Mus musculus: one gene and its partner. The protein of the gene in region 2 purifies or fractionates together with the protein of the main gene of each other region. This does not show direct contact. Links are inferred from orthologs where the notes say so. Each region holds a gene or a part of one and is shown on either strand. Other genes may lie near its edges.

Region 1 (4,037 bases), on a different chromosome or scaffold from region 2:
TTACTTAAAATCTGGCACCATATAATGGTTTCATTTCTTAACTTTGTAGATAGAGCTCTCAATGTATCTGCTTATTATATTTGTTCTGACCTGTAAATTTGCTGCTTGATTTATGAGAATGCATTTATTTCACTGTTGCTTTAAACTACAAAACAAACAAACAAACAAAACAAAACAAACAAAAAAACCCTCTGAGCAAAGCCTATTAGGATTATTCCATAACACCAATTTTACATTGCTCTCTATTAAGCCAAAGGCTTCATATTTTACAGTAATTTTCACAAGAAAGCAACAACAATGTGGTTTTAAGTTACTGCAATTCAAAAGGTAAAGTTGATTAATAATATATGATGTAAAGAAATTGAGCACTGACTACTTGTAACCATTTCAGTAACCCACTTATGCTTACAGTGAGCCGTGTTATCTTTGTCTATCGAAATATACTCCCACATCTGTCATTTCCTTGAAACCCTGGGTAAACACTACAGTAAGCTCTGAGCAACGCATATACTAGAACACAAATGAATGTCTGCCATGCCTGAAGTTCACGGGCCTGGTATGTGAACACAGTGAGCTACTTAATGTTTGATAGACTGTACACTAAAGGTACTAGACCAGCAAAGATGACCTCTACCCTGCTTGCAGGCAGCTCATATTAAAATAAAAATAAAATAAAAAGATTTCCCTAAACTGAAAATTATGCAAAAATTAATGCTGCTTTAAGAAATTTACATTTTATTTCTATTAATTTTATGTAAAAAATGAAGTAGTTATTCCTTTAACACCACTTTGAGAGACAAATCAATAAGGGGAACAAAATCCTCACCAAACAACATGATGTAGTGGAAAGTACAAAGTAACTGGGCATATAGTTCCAGTTACATTCCTAAATTACTATGTGACTTGGGGCCAAGAGCTCCATTTTCTCATTTGTTTAAAGAACTATAGAGGACAGACTTGGTTCATCTTTAAAGTAAATTTTCTCCCAAACTCTTTTTCTTCTTTTTTTGAACCACTGTTTTCTACTTTAGTCAGTGAACGCAGTGTTCTTTAAAGTCTAAATTTTAGAACAAGAAATACATCTTAAGTCCGATGGAATGATTTGGTTTCCCAAAGTCGATATGAACAGTCAGATCATGAAGTTAACAATTAATCTGGTAACTTTCCAGAAACTGTCTCCTCTTAACTTCTTCAGCAGGTGTAGTCTGATTCTGACATCTCCAACATTGCCAAGGGAGGATATGAAATGGTTCAGCTCGGCTGAAACTTCTCTGGGTGTTTCCTGGGTTCCAGAGGCACAGGCTCTGTGAGAGCTAGCAAACACGGCAGAAAGGGAGCCGGCTAGCATTCCAACAATCCCCCTTTCAACTCAGTCACCTCAGGAAGATCAAGATAAGGCCTTCACCCAGAGAACCTCCCCACCCCAGAAAGGCCTGCAGCCAACGTAATGAATGCTTCCGTCAATAACACCCATTCCCCTTCCCACAGAACTGCTTGCTCCCAATCCGCCATCTGGGGTTGGAATGGGCCTCCTCACAGCACCAAACTCAGAACCACTTTTGATCCCAAAGGCCGTGAGCTATTAGAAACTGTCGCTTCCCTACGCATGGCTTGGGAGCGAACAGCACCCTACACCCCACCCCACAACGCCAGGGAGGAAAAGAAAAACCCACAGTGGGGCGGAGAGCAGAAACTAGGCCTAGTTTCTGCTGGAGAAATAAACCCCGTTTTTGTTTTTTTGTTTTTGTTTTTTGCAATTGGGAGCAGGCGCATTTCCTGCCCTTGCTCTGATCCTAAGTGTCCATGAACCTGCACTGCACTTTATTCTCTCCCGGAATCCTTAAGGCGGACCGAAAATCCAATTCGCTTCTTTCCCCATCTATTCATTCCTAAAACCTCTAGCATTGTTAAAGAAGATAACCCAGATCCAGAAGTGGGAAGTGAAGCAAGGGCCAATGCTGGGATCCTGTCCTGAGATCTTAAGCTGCTGATGCACGAACAAAATCCCCTTGTGGTCTAGAGTAAAGTTTGAACCTGCAGCAAGGGCACGGACCCGGCCCGGCCCGGCGGACCTGGGCTACTGGGCAGGCCTATGGAGGTGACACTCCCTTGTTCTCCAGCAGCTGGGGGAGGTGGCTCCGGGCCGGGCAGGCCTGCACCCGGAGAGCTGGGTGAGGGGAGCCCCAGGGCCCGGGAGGCTGGAGGCCTGGCCCGCAGCAGCACCCCAGCCGTGCCGAGCCTGCCCCCCTTCTCCCTCCTACCCTTGAGTCCCGTTCCCCCCCAGCCCGAACCCGCCAGTAGACGTTGGGGGGTGGCGACAGGGGGGTCTCGGCTACTGACCACACATTTCTTGCCGAGGAAGGAGAAGAGAGACTCGTTCTCTTGCGGGGTGAGCAGCAGGGAGCCCACGTTGGTGACCCTCCGCGGGGGCTGCTGGCCCGAGCTCATGGTGTCGCCGGTGGGGTGGAGCGTCCAGGGTCGTCACTTCTGGCGGCGGGCGAGCACTCGGGTCCCACTCTGGGTGACAGGGGCGCGAGCCGGCGGTCACAGCCGCAGCATCCCGTCGTCGCTCCTCCGGCGCGCGGAGGCCGAGGGAAGGAGATGACGGCGGGCGCCCTCGGGCCGCGCGCCGACAGGGAAGCTCCGGGCTCCCGCCCTGCTCAGCTCCGGCTGGATGGTCGTTGTCCTAGCACTCCGGCGGCTGCGCTAAACTCCCTACTCCTCCAGTCCTCTGGCGGCGGCGGCGGCAGCGGCGGCGGCGGCAGCCGCACAATCCAACATGGCAGCGGGGGCGGGCGAGACCACGGGACGCGGGACGCGGGGGAGAGCGCCGGAAACTCGGCAAGGCGGGACACCCCCTCGGTTGCTGCGTGCCGGGGCGTGTCCTACCCAGGCCCCGCCCCTTCCGGAAGCGGCAAGGCTCATCCCGGTTGAGGTCTTGTTGCAGGCTAGTCGCCCCCACCAATGACCACCGCGCGCGTGCGCAGACTCAGAGCGAGGCAGGGCTGGCGGGTCTCCTACACTGACTGCCGAGCCGGACGCCCCCTTGCAGCAGCGCCCACCTTTGCGGAGCGTCGGGTCCGCGTAGCCAGTGTTTGTTAGGCATCGAAGCGAGACTCTCAGGCCGCCTGTCAGGGAGATCTAGTTTAGCTGGAGAGAAAGGTCGGCCGGCGTAGTTTCGGTCAGAGCCGCAGGTGCCTCGGGTTTCTGGATCTTAGTCCCGGCCGCCAACGGGGCGTGGAGGGACATTGCTAAGATCAGGATAGACATCTTCAGAGATGTCAAAAACAGAATCGCAAAAGGCGTCCACCACCCGCCTGGCGGATCTCGTGGGATAGGTGTGTGTAGTTTTTTCCTTGCCTTGTGAATTGGAAACTACCCCTCTCAATCTTTCTCTATCTCAAGTTGGAAGCACCTTGTCTCTTTAATTCAGGATGAATGCACGCGTTTGGGAATGTCGTGTAGGAATACACCTTACCTCTTTTTTCCTTACGAGTTAATTTCATGGCTCTGTATTCTAGGTGCAGGGACCTAGGGCCTGGTGCATACTCAGCCAGCTGAGCAATATTCCCAGCAGAAGTAAATAATGAGAATTCATTACTGTGTTTCATAATATTAAAGGTTAGTATAAAATCATTGGTTGAAAACTAAAAAGCTTTAATTTAAAAAAATTGGAATATAGAGATGATAAACCAGATTACAGCGAATTCTATAAAATGTACATCCTACTATTAACATTAATCATACAACGTATCACATAAGTTGTACTAACGATGTTTGCTAATTACCTAGTTCTAATTAAACAGTTGCATATTCAACTTTTATGACAAACTCTGGTAAATTTCTGATAGCTCTCAATACATTGATAAACTATTACCGACGAACTGAAAACAAAGCTGTAAAGCTGCCTATAATGCACATAATGAAATTGGGTGATGAAGAGCAAGCCTACAACAGAGGATGTGCGAATATACTCTTAGGAGTTCTCACATAGTATATGGATATCTCAAATTATGTTAATGTTAACGGAAAAGATA
Region 2 (3,500 bases):
AATCCAGTTGCTTGAAGCTAAAGTTAGTCTCCCAAGTTATATTGCTAAAAATAACAATAGGTTCTAATAGAAGGATAATCCAAGTATGCTCCAAACAGGAGACATTAAATTCTGGAATATATAGTTTGTCAGCAAATAATATTTTTCCAAATATTCATTATTAATTTTACACACTTTTCTAGAAAAAAATTCAAGACAGTTGTCAAGTATCAAAATAAAGTCCATTAAGCTTTTATAAATTAGGTGTGGTGTATAAGGGAGAAGCCATAGTTCTTTAGCCTATCTTTGAAAAATATCCCTGCTTCTAGTTTTCCAGTGTTTCAGAAAGCTGGCTGCTCATTGTAAAATCAATCAAAATCTCTCTCTCTCTCTGTCTCTGTCTCTGTCTCTGTCTGTCTGTATGTCAGAGGTTGAGTTGACAACTACATGCCTTCTTTAATAGCTCTCTACCTTATATTTAAGAATTTAAGAAAAGGTTTCTCACTGAACCTAGCTAGACTGCTAGATGGGCTGGCATTAAATTCTGGAATGCTACCTCCTAGGAATTTTCTGTGCCCAACTCTGGGATTACAGTTGTGTGCTGCTACATCTGGCATTCTTAGGTATCAAATTCTTCCCCTGGTTTGCATAGCAGGCACATTAGCACCTCCTCAGCTTTTATTCTAACTTAAATCACAACATATGTCAGTAATAATTTAGATTCTTTGTGCGTAAGTAATTTCAGACCGTCAAGTTGCAGTAATACAAGTAGCGTCCCCTCACTCCCTCCCCCAAATTTCTCTGCTCATCTATGTTTTTCTCATGATGGCTATCAAACCCTTGAGGCCTTGTGCATTCTGGGCAAGAATACTACCACTGATACTACCACCTTCCTAGTTCATCAGTGTTTCTTATACACCATGTTGTCTCTTTTTCTTCTTTTTAAAAGCATTTTTGTTGACTTAAGTGATTCCCTTACAAAGCATAAAACAATGTGTGGCAGATTTTGAGGCTTTTGCAAATCCTTTGTCTGTATCTATCTTGTTGACATACTTAGCAAAAGGATGTTGAATTCTGGATTAAAGTACTTACTTCATTGTTGAGAAAACTGACATGGTAGTCAATACCCAAAATAAAAGGCTGAATTTATTTGCTTGCTTCATGAGGCATATCTGCTTTTATGAAACAATCTCTCTGAAGAAAGCAGAGTGAGATCAAGTCTAAACTTACGTTTCAGGACAGTGTTTGCATATATATATATATATATATTTTAAAATAATGCATATAAGTTAGGCAGTGGTGGCTCATGCCTTTAATCCCTGCACTCAGAAGGCAGAGGCAGGTAGATCTATGGCATCGAAGCCAGCCTGGCCTACAAGAGTGAGTTCCGGGATAGCCAGGGCTACACAGAGAAACAGTGCCTCAAAATACAAAACAAACCAACAATTCAACTAACTCATTCAATTATATTTTTTTATTTTTCATAGAGTTTGATCATTGTATTTTATTGTCCTCAGATTTATTTATAAAGTTGTTTGTGTTACTATTCCCTTTGACTGTTTGCAGTATACAGTTGCGGTTCCTAGTATTTGCATGTTCTTTTTCTTTTTCTTAATATTTCCAGAATTGTCATTTTAATTAGAGAGGGGCTTAGAGATTTAACTCCTGAGTGTTAAGTGGCTATGGCTAACAGCCCCAACTTTAACTAAACATCTCCTTCATAAATTCTTTTGCCAGTTACATGAAAGTTTAAAATAATTTTTAAGCCAGTTTATAAAGTAATGGGCTTCATTATTCCAGTTTAAATATTTATTTTTAATATTTTTAATTTATTTGGTGTGTGTGTGTGTAAGAGAGAGAAAGAGAGATAAAGAGGAGAGAAGAGATGGAGTTACAAGGGGTTGTTAAAATGGGTTGCTAGTTGCCTGAGGTAGGGAGTCGGAACCAAATCTTGGTTCTCTGGAAGAGTGGGAAGTACTTTTAATAGCTGAGCCATTGCTCCTGCCTTTATTACTTCATTTTTCATACACATTTATCCGTTATACTTGGTTCTCAGTCCAGAGAACACTATAAAAGGAGAGAGATGTTTTTGAGATCTGAAATGTTGTCTAGGCCTCAGAGTTGTGATGCTGCTGCCTCAGCCTCCAGGCGCTGAGCTTACGGCTAAGACTTTGTTTAGCCTCAGACTGATGGTTTTTATGTGTTCCATATATGTTCTTTTGTTTAGAAGTAACATTTTATATAGGCCGATTATATCTCACTAATACAGTGTTATTTATAACCTTGATGCTTTTGTCTCCTTGATTGTTTTGTTAATTGAGATAAATATGTTAAAAATTATCCCTTATAATAATGAATCTGTTATTTTCTCCTGTAGTTATACCAATATATTTTAATTTTGTACTTTATAACTTATATGGGAAGACAAAAGTGTTCAGAAAGCATCTGTTATTTGTTGTATACAAGTTTGATTTTATCTACTTTAAGAGGAATGTTCAGTTGTCTGTGTAGTGAATTTCATTGCTAACGGTGGTTTTAAATGTAAGTTAGTTTATATAATACCAAATAGGAACAAGTGTTTTTTAAAAATTAGTACTTGCCTGTTAGCATTTTTCATATCACTTTTAACTTTTTGATACTCTTAAATTTATTTCTTTTTTATAGTATTGGGAATTGAGCTCAAAGCTGTGCACGGGCTAGGAGTATCTACTACTGAACTGCATAGTGCCCCGCCCATCTCCTGTTTTGTATATTAGTTTTGAGACAGGGTTTTACTCTGTAGCTTATTCTAGCTTCAAACTTAGTATGTAGCCAAGGCTAGCCTCAGCCTTATGAAAGTCCTCTTGCCTCAGCCTTTTGAGTGTTAGGTTTGCTGGTATGAGTCATAATTCCTGGCCTCTTAAATGTTTAAGCATGTCTTTTTGGACAAGCATGTAGACAATTACACTTCAGCACCATTTAAAACATGTTCTATGTGTTACAGTGTTGACGCTGCTGAAAGATGGCTGAAGAAGTGGTGGTGGTGGCCAAATTTGATTATGTGGCACAGCAGGAACAAGAGCTGGATATCAAGAAGAATGAGCGATTATGGCTCCTGGATGACTCTAAATCCTGGTGGCGAGTTCGAAATTCCATGAATAAAACAGGTTTTGTCCCTTCTAACTATGTGGAAAGAAAAAACAGTGCTCGGAAAGCATCTATTGTTAAAAACCTGAAGGACACCTTAGGTAAGTTGTTTCTTATTGAAGGAGAAGCAACAGCTTTCATTTTAGATCTTAGTTTTGGCTTTTTTTTTTTTTTTTTTTTTTTAGATTTATTTATTTTATGTATATAAGTACCAGAAGAGGGCATCAGACCCCATTACAGGTGGTTGTGAGCTACCATGTGGTTGCTGGGAATTGAGCTCAGGACCTCTGGAAGAGCAGTCAGTACTCTTAACTTCTGAGCCATCTCTCCAGCCCAACTTTGACCTTGTTACAACAGCTCCTGTGGAGTTTTGATTTGCAGAAAGTTTGCCACTA

What was found. The genes of interacting proteins can lie anywhere in the genome.
Region 1: the proteins of Nck1 (region 2) and Wasl purify together in Homo sapiens (co-immunoprecipitation; 4 studies listed by BioGRID and IntAct, with this or other methods). This does not show direct contact. The link is inferred for Mus musculus from reciprocal best matches to the Homo sapiens genes NCK1 and WASL.

The regions. Positions count from the first base shown.
Region 1 is NC_000072.6:24,662,196-24,666,232, forward strand, and holds the start of Wasl (neural Wiskott-Aldrich syndrome protein), read right to left. Parts: upstream 2,801-4,037; 5' UTR 2,449-2,800; coding exon 2,341-2,448; intron 1-2,340. UniProt on the Homo sapiens protein: Regulates actin polymerization by stimulating the actin-nucleating activity of the Arp2/3 complex. Involved in various processes, such as mitosis and cytokinesis, via its role in the regulation of actin polymerization.
Region 2 is NC_000075.6:100,508,135-100,511,634, reverse strand, and holds part of Nck1 (cytoplasmic protein NCK1), read left to right. Parts: intron 1-2,962; 5' UTR 2,963-2,980; coding exon 2,981-3,206; intron 3,207-3,500. UniProt on the Homo sapiens protein: Adapter protein which associates with tyrosine-phosphorylated growth factor receptors, such as KDR and PDGFRB, or their cellular substrates. Maintains low levels of EIF2S1 phosphorylation by promoting its dephosphorylation by PP1.